Rhinolophus ferrumequinum: one gene and its partners. Each later gene encodes a partner of the first gene's protein in a complex. Links are inferred from orthologs where the notes say so. Each region holds a gene or a part of one and is shown in the gene's direction. Other genes may lie near its edges.

Region 1 (7,120 bases):
AGGAAAGGCCAATCTCTTCAACAAATGGTTAAAAACTGGATATCCACATGTAAAAGAATGAAGTTAGACCCTTACCTGACACTATATACAAAAATTAACTCAAATGGTGTAAATACCTAAATGCAAGGCCTAAAACTATTACATTCCTAGAAGAAAACTGAATCAGAGAAAAGCTTGAACATTGGATTTGGTAATGATTTCTTGACTATGACACCAAAAGCACAGACAACAAAAGGAAAAATAGACAAATGGGACTACATCAAACTAAAAAACTTCTGTATATCAAAAGAGACATTCAACAGTGAAAAGACAACCTATGGAATAGGAGAAAATGATTGCAAATCATATATCTGATAAGGGATTAATATCCAGAATATATAAGGAGCTCCTACAACTCAGCAACAACAAAATGCTGATTAAAAAATTGGCAAAGGACTTGAATAGACATTTCTCCAAAGGAGAGATACAAATGGCCAATAAGCACAAGAAAAGATGCTCTACATCACTAATCATTAGGGAAACGCAAATCAAAACCACAGTGAGCTATTACCTCACACCTGTCAGGATGCTACTATCAAAAGAAGAGAAAATCATAAATGTTGGATGTGGAAAAGTTGGAACTCTTGTACATTGTTGGTGGGAATGTAAAATAGCGCAGCCATTGTGGAAAACAGTATGGAGGTTCCTAAAAAAATTTTTAAACAGATTACATTTGATCCAGCAATCCCACTTCTGGTATACGTCCAAAGGAATTCAAAGCAGGGTTCCAAAGAGATATTTGCACACCCATGTACATAGCAGCATTATTCACAATAGGTAAGAGGTGGAAGCCACCCAAATGTCTATCCACAGATGAAAGGATAAAGAAAATGAGATATACGCATACAATGGAGTATCATGTGGCCTTAAAAAATAAATCCTGTCACCTGCTACCACCTGGATGACCCTTAAGGACATTATGCTAAGTGTAACTTGCCAGTCACAAACGGACAAGTATTGTATGATTCCACTCATATAAAGTAGCTAAAGTAGTCAAAATTAAAGAAATAGAAAGTAGAAAGGTGGTTACCAAGGGCTGGGGGGAAGGTGAAGGTGGAATTAGTGTTTAGTGGCTACAGAGTTTCAGTGTTGTAAGATGAAAAAGTTTTAGACATCTGTTTCACAACAATGTGAAAACACTTAGCAGTACTGAATTGTACACTTGAAAAATGATTAAGATGGCAAATTTAATGTTGTATGTTTTTTTTACAATCATCATCATCATCAAAGGAATGGATTGTTGATACTCATACATGCAAGATGGATGAATCTCAAAGGCATTAGGCTAAATGAAAGAAGTCAGGCTCAAAAGGCTGCATTCTCTATGCTTCCACTGATGTGACATTCTGGAAAAGGGAAAACCATAGGGAGAGAAAATAGATCAGTGTCATCAAGGGCTGGGATGGCGGGAGGGACTATTAAGGGGCATGAGGGAACTTTTGGGAGTGGTAATATTGTTCTATGCCTTGATTGTGGTTGGGATCACATGACTGTATGTGTTTGTTAAAACTCATAAAACTGTACACCAAAAAAAATGTACATTGATGCATGAGAAAAACCTGGATATCAGAAACTGTACATAAAAATTTATACTGTATTAAGTTATCCCTCAATAAAACTAAAAAGAAAAGTGGGGTAAATATGACAAAAGTTCTAATCTGCATGGTCTTGGTCCAGTGTACAGTGTTCTTTTTTGTACCTTTCATTGTGATTGAAATGCTTCAATCTGAAAATAATAAAAACAATAATGATTCTTAAAAAGCTAACTAGTTTATTCAAACTGCAGTATGGTCTAATAGGACGCAAGTTTAAAGTTGTCTGATAAACAAGGAATTCTTATTTCATTCCTGTCAGTGTTATGTCTGTGACCGTATTTATAACTTCATTTTCAGAAAAGGTCAAACTTGTACATTTGAAACCTTTCAAGATAGTGAAGTCTGCTCAATAGGCCTTCTTGCCCTCATGTTTCAGACAACATCTGAAGAGCAAGAATAGCACTGGTGGTTGACTAAGCACTTGGGGAATGGGAGGAGTAGAGAAGTTGAGGATTGCTTTCTTCTGAGTGCTGATCTAGAAATCTATTGCTAGATTGCTCACTTCAATCAAAACAATAGAGTCAATCCTTTGTCCTTACACAGCCTGGACCTCCCTGTAGGTCTAAGCAATCCCTTTATAAAGCTTGATGATTCTGCCTTCTTATTTGTAAAATATTTGGCTCAGATGAATAAAGATGGGTAGATATACTTGATCATAGGAAAAACTGTTTCTAAAACAGCTTAGAAACTATGACTCTAGCGATAATAATAATAATAACCAATTCATCCCAAACCACAGGAAACACCAAGACCGACTGGTTAACCCGGCCTTGTAAAGTCAGCCTTAGCTATTTTTCTGCCTAGCTAGTACTTCTGTCTTTGGTTTGTTTTCAGCCTCCTCATATGTGGCAGCTTCCAAGTACAAAATTCCAAAAAGCTGAATTGTCCTGATTCCTCCCAATGTTGGCACAGACTATGAGGAATTGAGAATGCCAATAATCTAGGAGAAACAGATGGACATTTTTAATCACAAACATTTACCCTACAACCTAAATGTTGCAGTTTTGGACAAAATATGGAAATCTTAGCCCTTCCTTGTGTCCTTCCATCCTAATAAGGGAACCTACCAAGGCCAGGGGAGAAGGAAGGGAGAAAGGATCATCTGGGTTGAAAGATGAAAAAAGCGTGGCAGAAATGGGTCACCTGTGAAATGACAAGTTTAGCGTTCCCAAGGTTTGCAAAATGGATCTGAGGTGATTCAACCCTCATTTCGATTTTCTAAACTGTCATAAAATTACGTTTGGGTCATCTCCCAAGTATCTGAGAGTGGACAAACGGGGTGGTGAGATTATTTCCTAAACCATAAAGCATAAAGATGACAATGTTAAATTTAATCTAACAGCCTAAAGTTTCAAAACAGAAAATAGGACAGAGTGATTCACAGATATTAAGGAATAGAAAAGAAAGTATCTAGAAGTAAACAGGTTTTTAAAAAACAATAGTGCTGGATTTAGAGTTATGGGATGAAAGTTTGGAAAATATAGTTGTTGTTTTTGTTAAAGGTAAGCATTACATCAGTTATTAAAAGTAGTCCAGAATTTCAGTCACATGTTAAAGCAATCCTTTGTAGAAAATAAAAAAGGAAATATCAGTATTACACATTTGATTCAATTACATTTTTATACACTTTGGAATGCCACAGAAAAGTACTAAAGATGTCCCTTTGATGATTTAGCTTTGCTATATAAATTCAATAAACTAGATATATATACTGTTTGGGCATTCTTCTAAACTGGTAAATGTGTTTTTTAAATAAATACCATGATATGTTTAAGTATTCTGACATTTACTTCTGAATTACAAGGATATTAAGTATCAAAGGTATTGCAAACATCCTGGGCCGGAGTATCTCTGTACATAAGTCACTTTGGAATGGAGGGGCTCCCCTAATTTTGTAGTCTTCAAGTCATTTTTAGAGTTACAGAGTTGCTTTGATTTTTTTCCTTTTAATACTTGTAAGTCATTCCACTTAATTTTTGTCAATGTTTTTTGACTGTAAAAAAGTTAAGTGTTCATTTGTCCCCTTTATCACAACACAACGAGCTGAAGTTATCTGGCGACCTGCTGCGAGATAAAACAAAAAAGGCAAACCAAGTGGTGACAGTGTGGGATAGAGAAAATTCAAGGATGGTGATGTCATCTCTGTGCTCCTTCAAAAGACCTTATTTAGTAGCGTCCCAAATTTCTGTCCCCCCACCGGTTGCGTCCGGACATTTGTTGAAAATATTGATTCCTGGACCCTGCCCAAAACTGTCTGAGTCAGAATCCCCTGAGATGGAATTTGGAAATCCGCATTTTTTAAACAAGCGCCCCAGTCGGCTTGGGAACCGCAAATCTGATATACACAAACCTCTAGTCTCCGCCGACCGGTCTCTCACCGCCCCTTGTCGCACAGTCCCGCGGTGGCCCGCCTCACCCAGGCCCCGCCCTCAGCCCCAGTCTCGCGTGTCTTCGCAGGATACTTCCCGTGAAGCCCCGCGCCGGCCGCTGTGGTTGCCAGGCAACGCGCGGTCCCTACCGCTGGCCGCACGGGTTCGCGGCGGCGATGTCGCCCCTCGGCTTCCATCCGCTCTTGCTGGTACTTATGGACTGCTGGGCCTCTGTGCGCGCCCAGGCCGGGGCCACCCTGGCGGTGACGACGGAGGCTCTCAACTCTACGGAGCCATCCCCGACGAATTTCCGACCTGCCTTGTCTCCTAGGCCCCCGGGACTCCCCAGGGTCCCCGGGCCCTTCTCCGGTCCCAGGCCCACCCCAGTCACGGATGGTGGGTACTAAATGCCAAATCCTGGGGATCCAGAGTGATCCATCCTGGAGGGGTAGCCCGGATGAGGATGTAATAATAATGATAGTTACCGTTTATTGAACACTTACTTTGTGCAGGCATTGCTAAGCGTTTCATAGGCATTAATTCTCTCAACAACCTTCAGAGGTAGATATTATCCTTGCCATACAGATGAGAAAGCCGAGGCTAACAGAGCTTTAATTGGGACAATATCAAATCCTTGAAAGTACTTGCAGAGGTCTTGGACAACATTCATGCGCAAGGTAATAATAAATGAGCCTTTGCAGCCAAAGTCGCAATTAAACCGAAAGTGTCTAGACAGTTGTGGAAATTAAATGCATAGGATGCACTGAACTTTTCACTTACCAAAAAGAGACCCCAAAAGTTTACCTTACTAAATGTAACCAGGTGAAATCTCACTGTCTGTTAACTTGAATTATGAAAACCCCGAATTCCTCTTGTGTTGAGTTCGAGATGGGAAGTTGTGGGGTGAAGGGTTATGTCCACTTTTTAGGATTCATCTTTAAAAAATTAAAAAACTTAAGTGGGAAAACTTTTGTGTTTCAGACTACGAGAGGATTTTGTATTTATTGACAAAACCTTCCCTTTGTCCTTACACACTTCTTTCCAGAGTATGTTATTGTACCTTTTTTGAGCTACATTTTTCTAAAAGTCATTTTTATTATGAAATAATTCATACATGCGAATAAGAATGTTTTATGGACTCTCTTCCAGCATTTACTTGAGATCCTTTTTTTGGGGGGGGTTGTTTTTGCATGAAATCCTTTTGAAAAAAAGAAAACATTGCAGGTTAATATTGAAGTGCTAATGTGTTTCCTGCCTACCCAGAAATAATTACTGCTATGAGTTCAGAGTTTATCATTCTCATGCTCTGTTATTTCTTTAAAAGGGGTTCCCACCCCCCATTTGACAGATTAAAATAGGGAATTAAAAATCCAGATAGTCGTCATTATTAAAAAATTAAAAGTTGCTACCTTTCCCCATGCTTTATTGTCTATATTACTAGAGATATTCCTACGGCCCCAAGTATAAAGCACTTGAGTCATTTTGATTCTTGGCCAATAAATAGCCTGCTAATGTGGGCTCAGCCTCAAAACTGCAGGTGATGTCTGAGGAGAGAAAGAAGATTGAGAACCTTGATTCCTGGTGGCCTTAAGTGGGCCCTTCCTCTGAATCAATCTCTAGGGGAGGAATTTGGGAATCTGCAGTATTAAACCGGTGGTTCTTATGGTCAGGCAAGTGATTTAGTTTGCTGGTTCTTAAACCTGTCTGAGTTATCAGCATCACCTGGAAAGTTTTTGAACAACACGGATGTCTGGGTTTCACAGTCAGCTTACCAGATCAGAGTCTTTGTATATAGAGCACAAACAACGTTCCAAGTGAGTGAGATGGTTGGCCACTTTGGGGAAACCCCAGCTTGAGGAGTGCTGGAACTGATTGATTTTCACTTCGTAAATTTCCCCCAAATTGCAATAGGAAAAACCAAATGGGCCTTTTGTATGAAATGGACTTTTGGTACATTGCAGTGGCAGGGGGCGCGGTCACTACCTGCAGATTGTGATGCTCTGTATCCCACCTGTCTTTCTGTAGTTGCTGCTCTTTGTGTCTGTGACTTGTCCCCAGCACAGTGTGACGTCAACTGCTGTTGTGATCCCGATTGCAGCTCCATGGATTTCAGTGTCTTTTCTGCTTGCTCAGTTTCAGTTGTCACGTAAGTTTGTGACACATGCAGTTTTGATAAAATCGGACCAAGATTATAAACTTTCAGGACGGAAAGTGAAAACTCCCCCAGGCTAAAACACCCAAACCTGATTTTCTGAGTTTTGCATCATTCAGAAGCCATGTTGTCCAAACCTGTATACAGAAGAGTTATCTATCCCTTATTTGCATCCAGCCAGATGATAGTGCAGGCAAAAGAGAAGAGAGTGTACTTTTTAAAAAGAGTATAACAAAATCTTTGTGTTCAAAGATGGAATTACATTTCAGTTTGATTTGTAAAGAGATAACATGTCACATTTTTGTATCAGTGAATTAGTTGTATTTACAGCCTAGGGTGAAAGGTACAGTTCAATTTTACAGCTTTTGTGGTGGACATAGTACTTATAACAAAAAAATTAAATAGTCAGGTAAGCTTTGTTTATATTTTTCTGATGTGTAAATCTACCAGGAATTCTCACAGTTCACATCATATAGGAAAATAATGGAAAATGACATTCCCAGTCCATTACACGGTAAAGAAATAATCCTTTCTGAATGATCTGTTTCTCCTAATTCAGATTTCAAAACTTCTGGGAAAAAACAGCATTTAAAGAGGCTAATTTATTCAGGATGGGATCAACATACTATTCAAAGATAGCCAATTTAAATTTAACCTTGTAGCAAGTGGTAGTAATTGATACTTGATAGATTGAAAGCTTTTTGCAAGTACAATGTGTTTTTCCCATGAGAAACTATTTTACTGACTAATGGGAAATTGAATTTACTTCTAATGTTGTAAAAATGCTTGGAGAATGGGATGTTGTAGTCAGATTATTTTTTTCTGGCTACCTGGACTACACCATGGTTTAGTCTATGTTGAAAATTATCCTGCTTTCCTGCCTTAGGAAGTACTAGGAGCCTGAGAGTGAGATTTCTGCCCCAATTTGAGATCATTCTTTAGAATATCAGTTCTTTTTTATTAGC
Region 2 (7,861 bases), on another chromosome or scaffold:
ATTTTCATTACCACCTAATTTCAACACCAAGAGCTGTAGCCACATGATTCTTTTGAGAGAAAAGCCAAAAACTTGACTCAAAATTATTGTTGCAGATATGAATATAGACTTGCAAAAGGTCATTGCTGATTTGGGGAAATTCAGTGAACTTGAATGACCTTAAACTTGAAAGAATCCCACAGTTGGCAGAAAGTTCTGCCACTTGTTAGAATTTACTGAAGAGATTAATTTCTTTGTATTTCCAGGAGGATACCAAGGAAGGAAGAAACACAGAAGGTGAATTTTAATGTCCCCATATTTTTAAAAATGGAAACGTCTTCTTGGAAGGGGAAGGGCCAGAGAAGCTAATGTCAGCAGAGTCCTACTATTTGGACACTCCTATTGCTCCAAGTCTTGACATGTCACTGAAGACCTGGGCTAACCTGTTGGTACACACTGTAAGGAAACGAGGGCTTCCCAAAGTAAAAGCAATTAATTATCAGAAGCTGAAATGTTTCTTGGGAAAAGACAGTTGAGATCTGGCTTTGACATATAAACAAACTGTTTCAGCGTCTGAGCTTCTGGGTACTGCTGACCTACTTTATTCTCCTACTGACTATAATAATGTCATGCCCATGTGGTCCCACCAGTTTTACCTGTCGACACAGTGCGCGGAAGGGGCTGGGAAAAGGTAGGGATGCTCACTCTCTGGGTGCCCTGCGTAAGTTAGCCTGGGTTTAGCCCATATCAGTGTTTCCTGGGATCAGCTTTCCAAAATGTACCTGTAGCAGAGGCTGTTGGTGTCCTGCCCAGGTCCTCTTGAGCAGCCGCTATCATGTTGACCGTTAACAGCTCATACCTACACCCATCTCAGGATTGCCCTTGGCTGATGGATGCTCCCTAGCCCAGAAATCCAGAAATGCTTAACAGGATTCCATTCCGCTTCTTTCAGGGAATCAACCAATTCTCCAATGAGCCCTGATTGCTTTGTAATGGAAGATGGTATTTAGAAACCAAGGTCTGGGTACCGGGAGTGCTCATTTCTACTGGGGAGTCACTGCTTCTAGACTGTCTCACTGGACAGAGCTATGAACTATATGTGTGGATACCAACTCATGCATATATACGTACATAACTATATTCATTTATGACCCTGTCTATATAGAGAGGGTGCCAAAAAATATATATGCACATTTTAAAAAAGGAAAAAAATGTATTAAAATTATGCTGATGGTAACCATTTTGAGCACCTCTTGTAATTGCAGAAGTCAAACGTGACTTGTATTCATCTTTTGGTATCGTTATATATTGAGTATTTCAATTTTAATACAGTTTTTTACTTTCTTAAAATGTGTATACTTTTTTTGGCACCATATATATATATATGTATATATATATATACACACACGCATATATATGTGTATCTATATATGTGTGTGTGTGTGTGTGTGTGTATATGTGTATTCTAGTTGGTAAATTTGTTTCTCAGAAGGGTATGGGTTAGCAATTCTGAAACTACTTTATATGTATATTAAGGTTGAAAAAATAAGTATATATATGTATATATAATAGATAAAAATATATTATATATACTTATAAAAGTATATAATATATAAAAATATATATATACTTATTTTTTCAACCTTAATATACATATAAAGTAGTTTCAGAATTGCTAACCCATACCTTTCTGACAAACAAATTTACCAACTAGAATATATCATTTGCGGATTTCTTTTTATCTTTAGCCTTCAGTTTCCAGTCAAAACACTGTTTTCCAAAGTTACTTAGGGTGGCTCCTTTCTTTCTCACTCCCTTCAGTGTAGCATATGAGTCATTTATAACAGTTAGATTCATTTTTTATAGTTTACATTACATTTTAGGTACCTCTCACAACCTGGTAAATAGTTTACAATTTACATACAGTAAAAGTCACTCATCGTGACACACAGTTCTATAGGTTTTAATAAATGCAACGAGTTGTGTACCATCACAACAGTTCCATATAGAACAGTTTCATTATCCCCCAAATTACCTTATACTGCCCCTTTATAGTCAACCCCTGTTCTCAAACCCAACCTCAGGCAACCACTTATCTGTGTTCCAGCTCTATAATTTTTCTTTTTTTTCTATAATGTCATATAAAAAAAAGCCACACAGGATATAGCCCTTTGTGTCCAGCCTCTTTCATTTAGCACAATGACTTCTGAGAGTCATCCATGTTGTTTTACTTTGTTTTTATTGTGGAGTAGTATTCATTGTATAGATATTATATGACTTGCTTAAACATTTACATGTTGGTAGACATCTGGGCTGTTTCCCATTTTTACTATTGCGAATAAAGCTGCTATGCACATTCACATTAGGTCTTTGTGTGGGTATATGTTGTCTTTGCTTTTGAGTAAATAATTAGGAGTGAGATTGCTGGATCATATTGATAGGGTGGGTAGAAAGGTAGAAATGAGCAGTAGAAGGATGGAAGCTGCTCTCACTTGGGGTACAAACACCTTGCTTGGTGAGCAGGATATTGAGAACAAGATATATCACTAGAAGAAGGAAAAATGCCTCAAAGGGAGGGAAACCATCCTGCTTACCAGAATATACATCCTGTTTCTCAGGGCCATTTTAATGAGCTTCTCAAATAAATCATGGGAAATTAACGGATTCGTAATTACACCCTGAGAAACAACCTTGGGAACCAGAAGGGAGGATGGGACACCTCAGCAGAGAGAGGGGGACATTATAGAGAGGAAGAGGGGGAAACAATTCTACCCATAGAAATAAAAACCTCTCAGAACGTAAGGAGAGGTGGCTTCCTTCTCTTGGGTCAGCCAGCTGCATGTCTTGGAGTATACTCACTTTTACTAATAAACTTCTTGCTGTCTTATGAAACACAAACTCTGTATCTTGATTGAATTCTTTCCTTCAAGAAGACAAAAATCGAGGAAAACGTCATTCCTGATAACAGTATGGTAGGTAAATATTTCACTTCGTAAAAAATGTCCTGTAATGATATTCTTCCTCTTCCTCTTCTTCTTCTGCTTTCCTAAAGTCTTGTAGTAAGGAGAGCCCAAGTACATTATAAAGTCACAACTGGGGAGGGGGAAGGGCTATTTTAATGTGGTTCAGATGGGACTGGTTTAGGAAAGAAAAAAATTGGGGGAGGGGTTGGGGATGAGTAAATATAAGGACGCAGCACAGTTCAAAGAAGAGCCCATAAGTTTGAGTCAGAACATCTGGAATGTCAGTCTCCAGGCTCTAGGCTTCCTACTCATAAAACCGTGAGAAATTTGATTAATGTCTTGGTTTACAAATATGTGAAAAGGAGGCAATAATATTTACACTTCATGATGGCTTATGTAAGTGTTTTCTAAACCAAAAAAATTTTTCCAAATGATGGAATGTGTTATTTTAGGGAGAACTCAGTAAATGTCAGCTCTGAATCATCCTGGTTGAGAATGAGGGTGGAAGGATTGCTGGTGGTGGTAAAACGGATTTTGCTCTTTATGCTATATAATCTAAACTTTAGACTTTTACCAAGATATCAGTGTATAAGTGTAGTGGGGATCAGGCCATTCTTGATATCAGAATACAAACTCCTTCCAGAATCTGATAAAAGCCATAAACTCCTTCCAGAAAATGCTCCCCACAAAATTCTAGGAAAGAATTCATAGACTCCTTGAACACCAACACCACTTACGGACTCTGGCTTTAAGAATACGGCTTTACAGGCACCAGAAAATAAAAAATAGAATTTTACATTCTAGAATTTCACAATAGAATTTTATAACCTAATTTACCTGTATAAAAATAATTCAATTATGGTTACTTATACAAATAATATATTTCCATACCATTATGGTACAGTAACTATTTTGTTTATAATTATATCAGATTGACTTTGCTGTAAGTTTTATTTGGTTATAAAACTAAACTGTTGATGCAATCTCCACCTTTATCATTTGTTGTTCATGTGGCACAGTGTTGTATATTCACAACTTTAAAAGGAAAAATTAGAGAGACTATTTCTGAAGAGCTAGTATTCTGCTTCCATGGTTTTATCAGTTGAAATAATTATTTCCCAGGTTGGAAATTCTGTCCTCTTAAGGAACAATCTGGTAGGTGAGAGGTTTTGAGGTTCTACCTCAAAAGGTGTTCAGGCTTCAAAAGAAGGTGTAGAAGGTGTTCAGCCTTCAAAAGTAGCATCTGGCTAGAATCCGATTTCCTTCACCACTTAGAGTTCTACCTAAACAAGCCCTTTTAAGCCCTGGCCTTCACTAACTTCATCAGTTAAATGGGAATAACAATACCTACTTAAGGGATGTCTATGGGGATTAGGGACACTATAAACGAAACACTCAGGCTGTATTAATGATAAATAATAGTGCTATTATGGTGAGTTCTTTGTATTACACAACGGTAATGCCATATAATTAAACTGGCATAAGATTCCTGACTTCAGGGGACAATTACTTTGTCGGGAGGATCACCAAATGACACGACCTTTGGAGGTTATGGTGTATCCTGCCTTTGACAGTCCTTCATTCAGCCTGACTTCTGAATAGTACTTTGTTGGCTTTTCAGAAGGCCCGTGCAGTATCTAAGGTCTTAAAAATCCGGAACTGACACGCAGGGGAAAACCAGTTCAATAACATCTTTTCTTACCTTACTGTTTTTCCTTTAGTAAATACCAACCCAAGCAATAATAAATCTTCTGACATTTTTTTTTTCGGTCCAAGAATATATTTTTCATGTCTGAGTAAGTGTCATCACCTTCCCTGACCCCTTTGGGAGAAATGGAAACAGCCTGTGAGTCACGTCCACCCATTTTCAGGCCAAAGTTCCGGAGCATTCAGTGGAAGTCAGTGTAGTGTGATGGAAAAAGTAGTGGTCGGGATTCAGGGACCTAGGTTTGGTGCCCATAACCACTTAGGAATCTTTATGAAAGGGGCCCAAATGGCTCTGCTTAGTTTCCTCATTTGTAAAGTGCATCAAGTCGGCCTGGGTGTGAGTGAGCTTTGTTCGCACAGGAGGTAAGCGGTACTTCCGCGGGGCCCCAGCCTGAGAGGGGCTTTTGGCCTTGCCCAGGCTTGCACCCGGCTGACCGCTGCGGCGCAGCGCCGAGAAGCGAGAATTGCTTCGCAGCATCTCCTCCGCCTCCCAACCCAGCGTCTGCGTTGCTAGGAAACTGGGGTCGGCGCGCTTTCCGGCGCAGTCGCGGCGGGTTGCAGCTGTCATGGCGGAGACCGTCTGGAACACTGACACGGGGGAAGCTGTGTATCGCTCCCGGGACCCCGTGCGCAACTTGCGCCTCCGGTAGTCGCCTCGCCTCAGAGCCCCGTGGTTTCATGCTGTCAGATAATTCGAGCCTGAACGTCACTGCTCAGTGTTCGGCGGCCCCCACTTCCGCTTATAACCCTGCTCACTGCCTCCGCGGTCTCCCTGCGTCTCCCCTCACTACCCGGAACCCTCTCCACGCGCATCTTCCAGACTTACCCAAGCTCTTTCAAGTCCCTGCCCCTCCCAAATTCCTCGGAGCCCTGTGTCCCCAGCACACTCTGTCATCCTTAGTCTTCCCCTTGGGACCCCGCGCCCCACTCACCTTCCCTCAGTTGCCTGCACCCCGCACACTTTGGTAGCCCCACCCTCTTCCGTGTCGTGTTTCCCCCATCTTTGCTTCATGTTTATCTCCTGGTTGTGTGTCTTGTAACGAGTATTTTGGGCTTCTTTTTTCTTCATAGAGTCCACCTGCAAAGAATCACATCAAGCAACTTCCTACATTACCAGCCTGCTGCCCAGCGCGGGAAGGACATAGACTTGGCCACTTTTAGGCCTCAAACCGCCAGTGGGTGTATGGTGGGGATGTGTCCCCTTGGGGATCTGGGAATCGCCCAGGGTGGTAGTTACCTCTTAAGACAAAATAGACGGAGGGCTGTAGTCTGCGAAAAGGCGTAGAGAGGTTGGGTTTCTTGCCCAAGGTCGCGCAGCTGGTAAATGTTGAAGTCAGGATTTGATCGTAGGCCATTTTAACTGCTATATTATGTTGTGTATGAAAATTTAATAAGACATGATTCTTGTCATCAAGATACAGATGGTAATTATGGTCAAATGTAGTGAAATACCAAATACCACATTTTAGATATGTTATAAATTTGCCCGGCGACTTAAATTCCATTTGTGGCATTTCTTTTTTTCTAAGAGAAAATATGCTCCAAATTCTAAGTATACATATAACACTTTTAAAAACTATTTTAAAATTGGAGTCTGCTTGAAAAATGTGCATATTAACATCAGCTGTGCACTTGCAGTTTTCCTTATCCGGGAAGCCAGAAGAGTGCGGAAGAGAGGGCAGTGTGCTTGTGTTAGGCCACTAATCTCTTTTGTTGATTCTGTTCAAAAAATATTCCTGGGAAGAAGTGTGGGCTAGTGGGTTGTGAAGCATGTATCTCTGAAAAAGGCATACTCAGCTAGGAGAGTATTAGATTTGGTTTTTTATATAATATTTACTTGCCTTTCCTCTTCTCTCCTGATACTTGGTTTCCTACGGTTACAGTGTTTGTGATTCTAGATACATGGCTTCAGGCATAGGAATGATAAAAATGCCAGGGTTTCCTTTCTAGCAAAGGTGGACAGTTGGGATTGAGGACGAGCTATTCAGCTTAGATCTAAATTTCAGCGCTTGACACTGAATTAGATTAAATAATTCCTGGAAGGCATGACTTCCTTTTATTCAAATTAGAGTAGTGATTAAGACATATTGGTTCTTAATCCTGGCTTCTACATACACATCCACAGTCTTTCCAGCCTTTGTCTAGAGTGAGTGCTTAATAAATCACTGAACTCCAACTGGTTTTGTGGCAAATATACGAGCAGTGACTTTCATTATAATTAATCACAGAGCAAGAAGTGGTTCTGGTTTGACCCAAACATTTGACTCACTCTGTTGTCTTTGGAGGTGGACACCGCCCAGATGAAGATGAAGAGGAAGAGGTCTTGATTGGGTGGCAGGAGAAGCTCTTTAGTCAGGTGAGCCAGTGTCACTTGTCTGCTTGGTCTTCTACCTGGTCCACCTCCACCTGGATGGTATCAGGGAAAGATTCTTGGTACATATTGTCAATCTGATTTCCAGAAAGCTTGAAGCAGTTTATACTTTCCCCTGTTGTGTTTACAGGGGCAGTAACATACTGACTGTCACCACCCAGTTTTATGATCCTGGGCGAGGATTTTTCACCTCTGAGCCACATATCATCTGTAAAAGTGGAGTTGGATTAGACCATCACTCTGGTTCCTTTTAGCGCTAACATTCTTTGGATCCCATACCCTCCATTAGTTTAGATAAATGAGAGTTGACCATGAAAATGTATCAGATCGTTTCAGCTGTATGGAACGGCTTTAATTAAACAGATGTAGGAACAAAAGTTTGGTATATTCTCAGAAGATCTGTTTCTTTGTGATCTTAGTTTGAAGTAGATCTGTACCAAAATGAAGTGGCCTGTCAGAGCCCTTTGGATCATCAGTACCATCAAGAGATCCTGAAGCTGGAGGACTCAGGTGGCAGGAAGAACCGACGAATCTTTACCTACACTGACTCTGATAGATACACCAATTTGGAGGAGGTATTGTTCTTTCCGAGGTCCCATAGCTTCCTTCTCCTTTGGCTCCCTGAGCTTTCTGGCCTCACTGGGTGCTTTGTGTTAAATCAGCAGCCTATGAAGGGGCGACAAGAGAGCCTGTCTAGGAACTGCCTTGTGCCGCTGGCAGCCAAGCTGGAGCAGAGTAGGCACAATCTGCAGGTGGTGTGGCTGCTGCTTCCTTCTTCCTGCTGGAGGGCCTGGAGGACCTGACAGGGTTTCTAGTGTAGGCTTGCAGACTACAAACCGGG
Region 3 (7,635 bases), on another chromosome or scaffold:
ACCCGGATCTTGAAGTTCAATAAGAAGCTTTCAAGCAGTGAAGGTGGAAGGGATCTTCCAGGTGCGAAGGGAGAGTGTGTGTAAAGGCAACATGATGTACTGAACACCACTGGATTGTACACATAGACATGGTTGGTTTTAGGCCATGTGAATTCCACCCCAACAAAAACAAATGCTTACGATTTTTGATTTTTAACCGGACAGTGTGTGTGCAGGCATCTAGTACTGCAAGGTTGAGGGGCAGGGAGGTGGGGCAGCAGCAGGAGGGACCCGAGGGACCCGGCAGGCCACAGAGGGCTTTGTGTCACTTGTGAAATTCAGCTGTGGGCCTGGCCTGTGTCCCATTCTACAGGGAACCAACAGGCATTCCTGGCGTGGCCCCAGCTCTCTCTACTGGAGAGCTGAGAGGCTGAGCCAGGAAGAAAGACCTGGAAGGGCTGTGAGAGGAATAATCTGGAGACTTAAGAGTCACAGCAGCCGTACTTCGAATCCCAACTCTGGTTCCAACTCATTGTGATCTCGGGAAGTCACTTCACTTCCCTGAGCCTCGACTTCCCCATCTATAAAAGGGGGTGGTAGCACTGCTTTTGTGGATTGTTGTAAGGAGCCCTGTCCTATGGATGCTACAGAGCTTTGTGGGATGGGAAGAGGTGGGGGGAGGATTATTATTGTTGCTGTCGACCGCGGTCGGCTGGTCTCTCTGACACTCACCTGAGACGGAAAGCAGGCCAGAGCTAGGAGGTCCCCGGCCCCAAACCAGGAGGGGCCAAGGTCTGTAAGCAGGATGTCTGCACCATGGTTCAGGCCCTGCCGCACAGCTTCCTCTTCCCCAGGCCAGTTCCCCTGTGCCCTATGACGTGGGCCGCATGGGTATGGGAGGGAGGGGGCATTGGGTGGTTAAATTTCCTGGGCTGACAGGGAGGAGGCCACACCCAGTGGAGTCAAGACTCGGGCCTCCTCTACAAATGCTGCCACTGCTGCTGCTCCTGCTGTTTGGTAAGGAGCTGTGGGTAGGGAGCCCGGGGAGTAGAGGGGGAAGGGATCCATCCCTTGAGGGCTGAGAATCCAGGTCTCCTGGGTGCCGGACAGAGTAGGTGACAGGCAGTGAGTAGGGGTGTCTGGCCTGCAAGGAAGAGCTCCACGTAGATGAGACCTGACCTTCTAGATTAACAAGGTGGGGGGAGGCCCAGCTGCCTTAGCAATGATCCTGTGAGAGAAAAGCAAGGAGAGCTGGACCCCCACCTGTAATGAGCTCCTGGGCAAGAAGGGGAGGAAAGCCTCCCAGAGGGCAGATTGTGGGGGGATGGGGAGAGATCAAGGAAGACTTCACAAAGGTGGGGTTTGAAGCCTGAACAGGCGTCGTCTAGGGGGAGCAGCTGGGGGATGATATGCTATACACCTGGAGGCATAACAAAGCATGAGTATTCCAAGAACTACCTTTAATAAGAAAAACAGCTAAAAAGGTATTGAACTTCAGCTTGTTTTAAATATTTGACATATATTATCACATCTAATCCTCACAACAGCCCTGTGGGTGTGACGAAGAAACTGAGACTCTGGGAGGTTAAGTAGCTTGCTCTAAGTCACACAGGATTCCACTGCAGGCAGTGTGGTTTCAAACAGGGGCGGGGGTGGGGGGCAAGAGGTGGGAGCTGCGGCTGCAGAGGTTAGCAGAGGCCTGGATGGAAAGATGGGGGCACAGAGAGGAAAGAGATGAATGGGAGACGTCCAGGATGCCGGGACCCAGAGCTGAGCTATGAGGCCTCATTCTCCCAAGGTGCAGGGCCAAGGCTTGCTGAGACCTACAGCAGAAAGGGCCCAGACACGTGGCCTTGGCAGGCAAGCATCTTCCTGGATACCCGGTACCGCTGCGAGGGGGCCCTCATCTCCCGAGAGTGGGTCCTCACAGGAGCCAACTGCTTTGGCAGGTGTGTGCAGGGTCGGGGAGGTGGTGGAGCGGGGCCCCAGGAGGGAGGACCGTAGCCTCATTGCCTCCCACTCTCCACAGCTGGCCTCAGTCCCACTACAGTGTGACCCTGGGCCCAGATCGACTGGCACTGGACACTTGCAAGAGCAAGTCCAGAGTGGAGGAGCTGCTGCTGTCCCCAGGAGGGCCCAAGGGCTCTGGGTCCGGTGGCCTGGCCCTGGCCCGGCTGGCAAGGCCACCATCTCTCAGCAGTGCCGTGCAGCCTGTGCCTTTGGCCACCTGGCCTCAACCTTTACTCAAGTGGCAGCTCTGCTGGGCCCAAGGGTTCGAGCCTGATTTCGGTAAGGATGGGAGCAGGTGATTGGGATGGTTGAGGGTGGTGAGGAGGCTGGACTGGACGAGGAGCACTGCCGGCGTGTTGCTGGGACCCTGCAGAGGTAGTACTCCTGAGTCCCTGAGCCCCAGAGGACAACCTTGCCCGGGCCAGCCGCTGGTCAGCCTCACGGACACAGACTTGCGAGGGAGAGGCAGGGCCCTGCCACCCTGCTTTGCCTGAGTCAGCTTCCAGCTCCACGCAGCCCAGATGGCTGGCACTGGGCACTGTCCCCATCCCCTCCCCAGGCTGAAGTGTGTCCCAGATCTCAGTGGGCTTGAAGCTTTCCTGAGGGGACTGTGAGAGTCTAACAGAGGACTGTTTAAGAGAGAGGTGGGGCTGAGGAGTGTCCAGAGGACTGGAAGCCCAGGAGGGTGTGTGTGGGGGGGGGAGACAAGGCAGGCAGGGAAGCTTTGCAGTATGTTAACAACTGGCAGGGCAGGACTGCTGCAAACCTGCTGGATAGCAATCAGGGCTGAGGGTCTGTCCCCACCGCCCTGCAGATCCCTACGTGCCACCCCAAGAACTGCACAGTGTCCCCTTGAGACCGCTCCACATCAGAACCTGCAAAGATGCCTTTCGCCTCCGACCTGACTGCCCTGACCTGAACGTCGGCCTGTCCAAAGGCTCCCAGTGCTCCAGGCCCCTCCCCGGGGCCCTCAAACTGGTGGTGAGGATCCCAGCCTGGCACTTGCTGGTCCCGAGGTGCCCTCCACCTCAGTCCCTCCTAGTCCCACTAGACTTGATCGAGCTAGGCCTGGTTACCCTCTCATTCCACCTGGGGTCTCCCATTCCACAAAACCCAGGGAACCGGCTTATCTGCACCCCTGATGGCCACCCCAGAGCTTCCCACCCTTGGGGTGTCTCCCCCGTTAGGTCCTATTCAAATGTGAGGCAGCCTTTGACATAGCCAGGTTGTAAACTACTGGGAGCCCCCTGGTTATTTGATAATCACAAGCATTTTGTTGAAAACTGACTTTTGTGTAATACTGAGCCTCAAAAGCCACAAGGAGGAAAAAGTTGGGTGACAGTGGTAGAATTTGTGGGGGAAAGCATTTTAACTGGGAAGACACACTGAAGGGCTGGGAAAGGGAATATGCAAGTCCCTGGGAGCAGAAATCCCTGCCTGAGAGCCTTGCGGTGCACAGGAGCCCCACTCATCCAGCCTCTCCCGACCGAGGTAGGAACACTGGCTGCCCAGGCTCCCCCTAATCAGGTCTTTGCTCACGTGGAGGGAGGGGTCAGTGGGTCTGGGCTGGCTGTAACCTGTCCTTTCCTCTCCGGCACAGGTGTCTGATGGGACTCCCCTAATCTGCTCCCAAAATCGCAGCTGGTTGCTGCAGGGCGTAATGACCTGGAGTCCCTGCATGGGGCCTGGACTCCCAGAAGTCTACAGTCCTGTGTATCCTTTCGTTTCCTGGATCCAGGATAAGGTCCCCAACGCCACCTCACCGGCTTCTACAGCTCAGCCAAGAGGCACCCTTGGGCCTGGCTCAGGCCCAGGAAGAGGCGGTTAGGGTCTTTAGCCTGTGGAGTCCTGGGTTTGAATCCTAAACTTACCTGCTGACTGTGTCCCAGTCGCCTCCCCTCCTGAATCTGCTTCCTTCTTTGTGTGATGGAGATGGATTCAGGTATTCACCTAGCTAACAAGCTGTTACAAGATGTGCCAGGGAGCCACAGATCAGGGTGGCCCTGGGGGGAGGGGGGGCGGGGAGGGCGAGCCTTAGTCCGAGTTATGACAATAATAAATAATAAATGTGCGAATGCAAACCATGAGAGCTAAGAGCAACCGGATCAATGTGTTAACAGTAGCTGCGACCCACTCGGGGCAGCTGCGGAGTAACTGTCATTTGAACAATGTCCTGACAGAGCCGTGGGTTCTGGCTCACCCCGTGGGCCTCAGTTTCCCCCTTCACACTGAGGAGCGGTGACTCGTTTCCAAGTATCCTCTGAGGTTCCTCCATCTTTGTTTAATAAACGTTTTGGAGACGACGGCCTTAAAAGCCCCGCGGGAGCGTCCCCCCGACCCGACGCGGAGCGCCCGGTCCAGCCGGCCCCCCAGACCCCGCGGCCCCGCCCCTCCCTCCGCGGCCCCGCCCCTCCCTCCGCGGCCCCGCCCCTCCCTCCGCGGCCCCGCCCCTCCCTCCGCGGCCCCGCCCCGTCGCCCCGAGATGAAGCCGCAGCGCCGCCTCCCGGCCGAGCGCTGCCGAGGCCCGCTCGGGCGGGGCAGGGCCGCGGCTGTGACGGGATTGGGCGCCGGGCTGGCTTCCGCATCCCGGCCCCCACTCCCGCCCCTGCCTCGCGTGGACTCTCCCAGCATTCCCGGAGGAGGGAGGGGCCGCGGACTGCGCCTGCGCACCGCCGCCCACGTACGCTCGCCTTCTCGAAGGTCGGGCTTTCAAGAAACGTGTTCTGCCCGCCACGCCATCTGTTTCCAGGGCAACCCCGGCGCCTGTGGGCAATCGCGCGCGGAACCCGGGTGGTTTCCGTGCGCCCCCTGCCATGGCGGCCGCGGGCCCCAGCGTCTTCCTACTCATGGTCAACGGGCAGGTGGAGAGCGCCCAGGTGAGCGGCCGTGGACCCCGCCGCGGTCCCACCCCCACGCTCCCCTGGGGACCCGCCCCGCAACCTCCTGGGCCGCTGTGTGGCCCCAAAGAGGCGTGTCATGCCTCGGTTCTGCGGGGAAAGGGAGCCAGCATTTGAGAGTCTTGGCGCGAGGTTGCTGGGAGCCCTCCACCCTGATGTGCCCGCAGAGGCGGAGCTGGGACCGAGCTCGCGCCCGGCCGAGCCTGCGGCCCCGCGCGACGATCGTGCGTGCGCCTTCTGTTGAGTCACAGCGAGCCTCGCGCGGGTTTCGCCGGAGGAGCGGAGGCGCGGCCAGCACACTGGGCCTTGTCCTCTCGTAACGGAGCTCGAGGCATCTGCCCCGTGTCCGGTGCCCTGCGAGTGCCCCGCACTCTGAACACTCAGACCCTTGAACTTGGCTGGGAATGGAGATGATTAAGTTAATTGATCCAACGATGGCGGTGGCCTGGAATGACCCAGGGAGGGTGTGCCTGTCGGACGCCAGGGGATGCTACTCGCCATTATCCATCCTCCTACATTTTATAAGAACCATTTGTGTGTGTGTGTGTGTGTCTGTGTGTGTGTGTGTGTGGTGTATAAAGTTTACTAAGTACGTATTCATTGTGTGCCATACTCGAAGCTCAGCATTGCTCATTCAGTTCTCACAACCCTGTGAAGTAGATCTTACTTCATTTTACTTCCCCATTTTACAGATGGAAAAACTTGCCCAAAGGAAGTGGCAAAGCTGGAAACTTGAATCCAGGTCTTTCTGACACCAAAGCTTTGCTCCACTGCCCTTCCAGGCTGTTGGAGATGGTGTTTATTATTTTATCATTGTGAGGATTAATGGAGATGGTTTAGATAAAGCTCTGCCAGGGCCTGAGTGTTAGTAGGTGTCTTACTGCCTTCCTGTTTCGTCAGGGATGCTCCTCCATATTCCCACCCTGTCCTCCTGCCCCTTGGCCTAGTGCCCAAGACCATCGTCCCCTCTTCTGTCTCACTTGGGGCTCTCAGCTGGACTGGGTCAGGTGTAGCATTCTCAGCACCCAGCCCGCTCCCACTCTGCCTCCCCCTCTCAGAGCTCCCGGCCCCTCCCACTCTTCAGGCCTATGCTCCCTGCGCTGATAGCCCCCTGGATTGTCAGACCTTTCACTTCAGCACCATTCCCTTAGACCTCCTCTGTGTCAGGTGCTGGGGACACAGAAAGGCATCAGACTTGTTCCTTGCTCACAGCTTCATGGGGTTGACAGGAATAAACACAGGCAAGTGCTTTGCTGGAGGGAAGCACCAGGGACTGAAGGAGCTGGGAGGTGGCCCTTCAGACAGCCTAGAAGTTAGGGCAGGCTCCCTGAAGGGTAAGTTTTGAAGGATGAGTAGGAGTTTGCCAGAGGAAGGAATGGGAAGGGCATGTCAGACAAAAGGCGGAGGCTGAGCTGAGGCCCAGGGGCGGTAACAGTTCGGGACCCGTGGAACTCCCACATGTCGAGCCCCAGTGCTCAATTCCATGTCCACATTCCTGGTTGTCACTTAGATCCCAGCCCAGGGGTCTCACGTTCAGAATGACTGTTGGCTACACCTGCCTAGCTAACATGTTGGCCTCACACGAGTTCCCATAAACAGACCCTGTGTGTGCTTGTTTCCACAGTTCCCTGAGTACGATGATCTCTACTGCAAGTACTGCTTTGTGTATGGCCAGGACTGGGCCCCCACAGCGGTAAGCTGGGCCTTAGGCCTCCTTTACAGCCTTCATGACTGTTGGCGTTTCTGAAGGTGTCAGTCGTACCCCTTCTCTTCCCAGTTTAGAACCCACCCAGTTCAGGGGGGGACCCATCCATGAGTTGGTTCCTGGTAAAGCTGGAGTGGAAAACACAAACATTACTGGGCTCACTGATCCGTGATCTGAGGCTGTGCTCACTCACGAGCCCTCGTGCGCATGGCAGCAAACAGAAATGCATGGGCAGTGCGGGCGGGCCCCAGAGAGCCAGCCTGGAAGCGGCTGAGCCAATAGACACTGTGGGCCAGTCCCTTCGTTGTTTGGCTTCTCCTCAGCTTGTGGGGAGGACTCCGGAGCTCTCCTTTTCAGACGTCCCAAGGAACACTCTGTCTCCACCAGGAGCAGGACTGTGGTGGCAGCTTCGGCCTGCATCACATTTTATGGTTTGCAGAGCTCTCATTTAATCCTCACAGCAGTTGAGGAAATAGAGACCCAACTCATTCAACCTCTCTGTTTCCTCATCGTGCAAGTGAGATGACGGTTCTTATTTTCTGTACACCCATTTGACTGAATAATTATTAAAAGTCTTCTGGGTGCCGGGGATCCAGTGGGGAACAAAGTCAGACAAAAGTCTCTATCTTCCTGGAGTGCACGTTCTTGTTGGGGGAAGACAGACACATTCCAGTATGTTAGCTAGTAGTAAGTGCTGAGGAGAAAGTAGTCAGGAAGGGAAGGTATAATGGGTAGGTGGCCAGGTAAGGCCTTGCTGAGAAGGTAGCTTTTGAGTCAAGACCTGAAGGAAAGGCCGGAATAAGCCATGTGGAAATCTGGGGAAAGAATTTGTCAGGTCGAAGGAGCAGAGAGTGCAAGGGCCCTGAGGCAGGAGAGTGCCTGGCACGTCTGAGGAACAGCGAGGAGGCCAGTGTGGCCAGTGTACAGAGTGAGCAAGGAGAGTGGTTGGGGATGAAGCAGGGAGGTCACAGACAGGCAGGTCTCAGACGGCGTGGTAGGTCAGAGTCAGGGTCCTGACCTTTCCCAGGGGCAGGATGGGACTCC
Region 4 (7,697 bases), on another chromosome or scaffold:
AAACCGAGCATGAGGCGGAGACTACTGTATATGTTTCTGTTGTTTGTCGTTTCAATCCTCTCAATCAGTGTCACCTGCAGAGGGCCTGAGATTTGATCTGTTGTGTTCGCTGTAATGGCTCAGGGCCTAGAACAGCATCTAGCACAAAGCAGGCCTTTAGTACATATTAGTGGGATGGGGGCATGAATTCCCACCAACCTCAGTTTTTTACCGAATCTCCGAGTTCTATGGGTCCCTTCGTCTCGCTAGGCCACCCTTGAGATTCATTCACTTCCATTTAGATCTCTCTGGCCACCATCAGCCTTGTACAGTCCCCGCAAATGCACCCCTTTTAGGGGGTCACAAGAAGCCCAGGCCTTTTAGGGTTTGTGATGGTCCTGGAATACTAAACATGAATTTCCAACCAGGATCATCAGTGGAGGCTTAAACCATTGATGAAATTTCAATGAGGAACAGGATATTTATCTAGTCTCAAAGTATCTTCCCACAGATGACTTATTATATTTTTACAAAGGGGAAAAATTAGTATTAATGGAGAAGACTGGCAGACATCACCTTAAGGTGTAGAAGTTGACGTCACTAGTTTGGAACAAATAGACTTCATTCCCCCTGGTATGCACTGAGAAGGACACAACATCATGTCTGGTTTTCTTGCTCAAAATCCATCCTCTGAACCTAACCACAAGAAAACATGAGACAAAGCCAAATTGAGGGACACTCTATAAAGTGTCTGGCCTGTGCTCCTCAAAAATGTCACTGTCACGAAAAACAAAACAATAACAAAAAATTTAAAACCTGGCAGGCCTGTTCTATATTAAAGGTGAGTAAGGAAACATGACAACTAAATACAAAGTAGCAGATGGTGATAAAGCATGTTATTGGGACAATGGGGGAACTTTGAATATAAACAATAAATTAGATGATCAATGTTGTATCAATGTTAAATTGATACTGTGGAAAATGTTTAATTGGTATTATGATTATATAGGAGAATCCTCCCTTGTTCTTAGGAGGATTTGACTGTTGGAAATAATGAGTTATGAAATATATATATATATGTTATGAAATATATATATATGCAAAATATATATATGCAAAATAATTGAACAGAAACTTCACAAAAGAGGAAATACAAAGAACAATGGACATTAATAAAAATACTCAATTAGTCATCAATAAAATGCAAATTAAAATAATAATTCGATATCAATACACACCCGCCAGAATGGCCAAAATGAAAAAGAACTCCATCACCAAGTGTTGGTAAGGATGTGGAGAAAGAGGAACTCTCATACATTGCAAATTGGCCCAACCACCAGGAAAACTGCTGGACAATGCCTACTATAGCTGAACATATCCTATGACCCAACAATTCCATTTCAACTAGATGTGAACATATGTCCAACAAAAAGACAAATTCCCATCAACAGATGGATAAATAAATGTAGCATCTCCACACACAGGAAACTTATAAAGCAATGAGAATGAACAAGATCTACAGCCCGAAGCCAAAGCACAAATGAATTTCGGAAACAAAATTCTGAGCAAAAGGCGGCAGACACAAAACAATACATACTATGTGATTTCATTTATACAAAGTACAAAAACAGGCAAAATTAATGCATGTTGTTAAAAGTCCAGTTAGTGGTCACCCTTGGGGGCATCCTAGAAGACACATGACGAGCATCCTGGGGAGCTGCTTGTGTTCTTTTCTTGAGCTGAATTACCATGTGAGTACAGTTCATGAAATTTGACCTCGCTCCTTATTTTTGATTTGTGCACTTTTCTGCACATATATTATACTTCAAAACAGTTATTTTTGAAAAAGAGTAAGCTAGATCTTTGTATACTGACATGGATAAATTTTCAAGATGCTTCACTGAGTGAAAAAAGCAAGATGTAAAACAATATATACAGTCACTATGGAAAACAGTATGGCAGTTCCTCAAAAACTTAAAAATAGAATTACCATATGACCTAGCAATTCCACTTCTGGGTATACACCCCAAAGAACTGAAAGCAGGGTCTTGACGAGATATTTGTACACCCATGTTCATAGCAGCATTATTCACAATAGCCCAAAAAGTGGAAGCAACCCAGTGTCCACTAACAGATGAATGGATGAACAAAATGGGGTGTGTATATACAATTGAATATTATTCGGCCTTTAAAAGGAAGGAAATTCTGATATGCACTACAATATGGATGATCCTTGAGGATATTATGCTAAATGAAATTAGCCAATCATGAAAGGACAAATACTAAATGATTCTACTTATACAACGTACCTAGAGCAGTCAAATTCATAGAGACACTAAGTAGAATGGTGGTTGTCGGGGACTAGGGAAGGGAAAGATGGGGAGTTTTTGTTTCATGGGTACAGTTTCAGTTTTGCAAAATGAAAACAGTTCTAGAGATTGGGTGCACAATCATGCGCATGTACTTAATGCCACTAAATGGTTCAGAAATAAATTTTATGTTATGTATATTTTAACAAAATTTTTAAAAAGTTAAAAATAAAAAGCAAAAAGTACATATTCACTGTGCTTCTTGGAAAAATATGTAAAATATTTCATTTCAGTAACAATAATAAAAACCAGTAATCACAGCAAATATTACAGTGCTTCCTATGCGCCAGGCACTATCCTGAATTCATTACGTATTTTATTAGTTATCTGTTACTGCTGCATAACAAATTATCCCCCCATACTCAGTGGCTTAAAACAACAAATATTTATCACTGACATAGTTTCTGTAGGTCAGGAATCTGGCGCCAGCTTAGCTGGTGGTTCTGGCGCAGGGTGGCTCATGAAGCTACAGTTAGCATGTTGGTCCAGTGCAATAGTCATCTGAAGATCTGACGCTGAAATATCTGTTTCCAAGACCGGTCACTCACATGGTGCTAGTTGTTGTCAGGAGGCCTCATGTGGCCTCCCCATGTGGGTCTCTCCATTGACTGCTGTACTGTTGTCACCTCATGATGGCTGGTCTCTCTCAAAGTGAACCATCCAAGAGAGAGGGAGGAGGATGCCTCGATGCCTTCTATGGCCTGGTCTTGGAAGTCACACAACACTTCTACCACACTCTATTAGCTAGAAGTGCAGCCTTCACACAAGGGTAGAGGAATTAGGTTCTACCTAAAGAAAGAAAGGATGTCAAAGAATCTGTGGACATATTTTAAAACAGCTTCATACATTCATTAAATCTTGACAATAGTCTTGAGGTGGGTACCATCATTCATTCTCATGTTACAAATGAAGAAAATAAGGCACTGAGGGCTAAAGGTCACACAGAAGGGGCAGAGCCAAGACTTAAATCCAGGCAGTTGACCTGGGAAGCATTTTTCTTAATTACTAATATCAGCCAGGGGGGAAGAAACCAATTAAAGAAAAAAATATTTAAGGAGCCCTGACAGGACTTGATGACTGATTGGATGTGGGAAGTGATAGCATCTAGATGACACCCCATAATCCTTTGATTCTGGGACATGTATCCAAGAGAGGTAAGATAGCAGAGAGGTTAAGAACAAAGTTTTGGGACAGAGTCAAATGGAATTATGATCAATTTGGCTTAAAGCGAATGATTTTGCTCTATTTTTTTCATCTTAAATTAAGCTGATAATATTACTTACCCAGCGACATGTCTGACGACTAAAGGAGATTGTGTATGCAAAAAGATTAGTTTTGGGGGGCTGACACAAAGAAATAACAACACATGGTAGCTTTCAAGCATACCTATAGTGAAATGTTATCCCATTGAATAATTGTCTTTATATAAATTTTTTTTTGTTGTTGGGGAAGGGAAACAGGACTTTATTGGGGAACAGTGTGTACTTCCAGGACTTTTTCCAAGTCAAGTTGTTGTCCTTTCAGTCTTAGTTGTGGAGGGCGCAGCTCAGCTCCAGGTCCAGTTGCTGTTGTTAGTTGCACGGGCGCAGCCCACCATCCCTTGTGGGAGTCGAGGAATCGAATCGGCAACCTTGTGGGTGAGAGCCCACTGGCCCATGTGGGAATCGAGCCCGCAGCCTTTGGCATTAGGAGCACGAAGCTCCAACCGCCTGAGCCATCGAGCCACCGGGCCGGCCCCTTATATAAATATTGTCCTATTGAAATGTTGCCCCATTTTGCTAAAAAGTAAGGGACTAAGAAGCTAAGTTCCCTTTGGACTCCTGGTCTGGGCTGGAGGAATAAAGCACTATGGTTAAACTCTATTTAGAAAGCGGCAAAGGCACTGCTCAGGAAATCAGAATGAGAGCCTCTGGCTCAGTCACTGTCCTTGTGTCCACTGCGTGGATGAGAAAACTGAAACCTTAGAGCTGTGCAACGTCACACAAGTTACTTGGCAGAGTCCAGTCTTCTAGAGCGGATTTTCTGCAGATAAAGGAGCCTCAGTTCCTCATTTTTACCACTTCACCACACCCCACCCCTTGCTCAGAATCAGCACAACAGAACTGGGCAGTATTTCTGAGAGGGAAGTTGGATTATCAGTCCCTTGGACCCTGGGGAACTTTAAAAAAGGAAGGAAAACCCCCTCCCCAACTTGAGGAAGGATTTTTTTTTTTCCAGTCATGAAGCAGAAGGGTGCATTCTTCTGAGGGGGAGTCCCCCTTGGCACTGGCTCAAGTCGCTGGTTGGTGGTCCCCGCTGGAGAGGAGTTTGGAGGGGTATGGGGAATCGATGGACTTGTTTATTTTGTTAAGACAGTTATCTGGGAAATACAGTTTGCGCTCAAACTTCCTCAGCCACACTCAAGATGGCAGCTGTTAGGCCACGCCCCAAATGCCAGAACCTTGCGTTGTGACTGGGAGACGCTTTTCCCAAAATGGAGAGAACGTCCATCACACCTTAGCCCCGCCCCCACAGGCAGCAGGGCCAATAAGGCAAGGAAGGGAGGCTGCTGTTGCCCTAGTAACAACCAGGGAGGCCGAAGGCGGGCGCGACGGCGAAAGGCTCGGCACCTCGGATCTCTCGCTGTCCGGAAGGTCCTGGGAGAAGCGCGAACTAGGCCTGGGAGTCAGCGCCCGCGGAGAGAGGGTCAGGTCAGGCCCATGAACTCTTACCCCCGCTGCCGCTTTCACCCCTCCTAACCGTTAGGTGTTCTGAAATAGGAATAGCGCATGCGTATGCTTAGAGGCGGGGCTTTGGTGGTTCTGCACTTAAAACGCATGCGCGTCAGGGAGCTGGGGGGAGCCGACGACACTAGGAGGCGGAGCTTTTGTGCTTGTGGGCGGGGCCTTGACCTTTGAGGCGGGGCTTTCCGTTGCACTAAGAGGAAGAGTTTATTTTAGGGGCCGGCTGAATTAGACGCCAGTTCCTCAGCCCAGCCCTCATTTTTTTCGAGACTCTCCTGGAAAGGCAATTAGGATCATGGTTCAGACCCCAGCCTCAGTGGTTTGACGAAACTAGCTTGGAATCCTAGTACTGCCCCTTATTTGGAGAGCCTTTTTCCTATCTGTCAGGTGGAAACAGTGTCCTTAACAGGGCTGTGATTATATTTTTCTCCTCTCAGGGCCATGGCTGAGGCGCACGTGATTGGGCAGATCGTGGGGGCCACCGGTTTCTCAGAAAATAGCCTCTTCTGCAAGTGGGGCGTGCACACAGGTATTGCGCGGGGCCTGGTTCATTTCCCCACCAAGACCCCCAGCCTAGAGGTTCCACCCTCTTTCCTTGACCAACTGGCCCTGTCGCTACTCCTTGTCTTACATCGGCTGTCAGCACTCCTAACCCTGACTACACTGTGTACATGTGAATTTCAGGCTCCCTTCTTATCCCTTCCCAGCCCATCTCTGGAGGCTCTGGCTCCCACCTCTGAACACATAGCCCTTAAGGATATGGGACTATAGGCTAGACTACACACACACACACTCCAATCCTCAGAACACCAGACAGCCTTAACCCTACTTCACTCACTGTCTCAGGGGTGCCCTGGGACCCTCCTCGCTCTTAATTCTTTGCTTAACAGCCTCCATTTATTGAGTTACTGTAAAATGGAAATTTCCATCCCAAATTTACAGAGAGACTACCCTCCTGTGTTCATAATTCTCTGTGAGAAGGTAGGAACCCCATTCTGGCAGTCATCCAAGTCCATCCACAAGGCCCAGGAGGGACCTTGAAGGGCCCAGTTTTCATGCCTCCCCATGGGAGGCAGTAGAGCCTGGTATAGTGTCCTGGCTAGGACCTCCAGATCTGGGCTCAAATACTAACTCCACCACCTATTAATTGGAGGCCTTTGGACTTAACCAAGCCTCAGTTTGCTTGTCTGAAAGTGAAGCTAATAGCAACTGAGAGGCAGCATAGTATTGAAGTTAAGAGCACAGACTGCCTAGGTTCAAAACCAGCTGTTGCTTATTAATTTTGTGACCTTGACACTTTCCCTGATTGTACATGGGCATAACAACCACCTACCTTATGGGGTGGTTATGAGGACTGAATGAATAACAATGGCACTTAGGAGAGGGCCTGGCCTAGTAAGTTCTCAGTGTCTGCCTGGCTTGTGTAAAAATTGGATGGAATCTTGTTTGTAAAGCCCTTGATATGTTGCCCAACACAGATAAATGCCCGTGAAAGGAATGTGGTTGTTGTCATCATCATCTCTTCCGGCCCTGGGTCCTTTGCAATTCCACTGGTGGCCAGGGTGGTGGTTGAGATTCCTTGGGAAACTGTGGTTCTCCAGGAGAGCTGATGAAGAGGCAGGCTCTGGAGTCAAACTCGGTTTCCATTCTGGGCCCCACCATTCACCTGCTCTGTGACCCTGAGCAGGTGCTTTCCCCTTTTGGAGCCTCAGTTTCCTCAATTGTGAAGTGGGATATTTGTCCCTCACAGGGGTGTTGGGAAGTATTGTATGTGAAAAGCCTGACTCAAGGCCTGGTGCTTTCCTCCCCTAGCCCAGAGGGAGCAACAACTCATAAGGTTTTTGTTATTTCAAGGAGTTGTTGTGGGGGGCATTGAATCCAGCAGAGAGCTTGGGGGCAGTTGGATAAAGGGCTTGGGCTCTGCAGTCAGACAGAGCTCAGTTTGAGTCCTGCTACACCATGGGACCTTGGTCTGCTGCGGTCCTGCTCTACGTCCAGCATGGGGATTAGTGCTTGGCACACAGCACGTGTTCAATAAATGTGCGTAGAATGAATGGACAACTGACTTTCCTTCTCAGCGTCTGTTTCTTTGCCTGTAAAATGGGGGTTATACAGAGGGTGCCGAAAAAATGTGTACACATTTTAAAAAGGAAAAAAATATTAAAATTGCAATAATATATACCAATAACAAAAGATGAACACAGGGGCGGCCGGATGGCTCAGTTGGTGGCAAGGTGGCTCAGTTGGTTAGAGCGCGAGCTCTTAACAACAGGGTTGCCGGTTTGATTCCCACATGGGCCAATGAACTGTGCCCTCCACAACTAGATTGAAAACAATGGCTTGAGCTTGGAACTGAGCCGCTGGTGGGTGACCGGTTGGCTCAGTGGTTGTCGTGCCATCCTCCTAACACCAAGATCGCTGGTTCAAGTCCCACATGGGCCAGTGAGCTGTGCCCTCCACAACTAGATTGAAAAAACAACGACTTGACATCCTGGAAAAACACACTGTTCCCCAATATTCTCCAATAATAATAATAATGATAATAAAAGATGAATACAAGTCACGTTTGACTTCTACAATTACAAGAGGTGCTAAAAGTAGTTATCATCAGTGTACAGACACTTCC

What was found.
Region 2: TCTN1 (region 1) and MKS1 share a complex: the UniProt entries of both Homo sapiens proteins name them as parts of the tectonic-like complex. The link is inferred for Rhinolophus ferrumequinum from reciprocal best matches to the Homo sapiens genes TCTN1 and MKS1.
Region 3: TCTN1 (region 1) and B9D1 share a complex: the UniProt entries of both Homo sapiens proteins name them as parts of the tectonic-like complex. The link is inferred for Rhinolophus ferrumequinum from reciprocal best matches to the Homo sapiens genes TCTN1 and B9D1.
Region 4: TCTN1 (region 1) and B9D2 share a complex: the UniProt entries of both Homo sapiens proteins name them as parts of the tectonic-like complex. The link is inferred for Rhinolophus ferrumequinum from reciprocal best matches to the Homo sapiens genes TCTN1 and B9D2.

The regions. Positions count from the first base shown.
Region 1 is NC_046308.1:6,243,211-6,250,330, forward strand, and holds the start of TCTN1 (tectonic-1), read left to right. Parts: upstream 1-4,118; 5' UTR 4,119-4,179; coding exon 4,180-4,399; intron 4,400-4,515; exon of another isoform or gene 4,516-4,680; intron 4,681-6,028; coding exon 6,029-6,149; intron 6,150-7,120. UniProt on the Homo sapiens protein: Component of the tectonic-like complex, a complex localized at the transition zone of primary cilia and acting as a barrier that prevents diffusion of transmembrane proteins between the cilia and plasma membranes.
Region 2 is NC_046304.1:27,437,701-27,445,561, forward strand, and holds the start of MKS1 (tectonic-like complex member MKS1), read left to right. Parts: upstream 1-4,848; 5' UTR 4,849-4,854; coding exon 4,855-5,012; intron 5,013-5,163; coding exon 5,164-5,295; intron 5,296-5,720; coding exon 5,721-5,824; intron 5,825-6,934; coding exon 6,935-7,005; intron 7,006-7,439; coding exon 7,440-7,595; intron 7,596-7,861. UniProt on the Homo sapiens protein: Component of the tectonic-like complex, a complex localized at the transition zone of primary cilia and acting as a barrier that prevents diffusion of transmembrane proteins between the cilia and plasma membranes.
Region 3 is NC_046304.1:160,430-168,064, forward strand, and holds the start of B9D1 (B9 domain-containing protein 1), read left to right. Parts: upstream 1-4,628; 5' UTR 4,629-4,802; coding exon 4,803-4,865; intron 4,866-6,510; coding exon 6,511-6,579; intron 6,580-7,635. Other genes in the region: tryptase gamma-like, read left to right, coding at 966-996, 1,778-1,928, 2,009-2,268, 2,804-2,970, 3,590-3,817. UniProt on the Homo sapiens protein: Component of the tectonic-like complex, a complex localized at the transition zone of primary cilia and acting as a barrier that prevents diffusion of transmembrane proteins between the cilia and plasma membranes.
Region 4 is NC_046298.1:39,663,885-39,671,581, reverse strand, and holds the start of B9D2 (B9 domain-containing protein 2), read left to right. Parts: upstream 1-4,694; 5' UTR 4,695-4,778; coding exon 4,779-5,038; intron 5,039-5,508; coding exon 5,509-5,600; intron 5,601-7,697. UniProt on the Homo sapiens protein: Component of the tectonic-like complex, a complex localized at the transition zone of primary cilia and acting as a barrier that prevents diffusion of transmembrane proteins between the cilia and plasma membranes.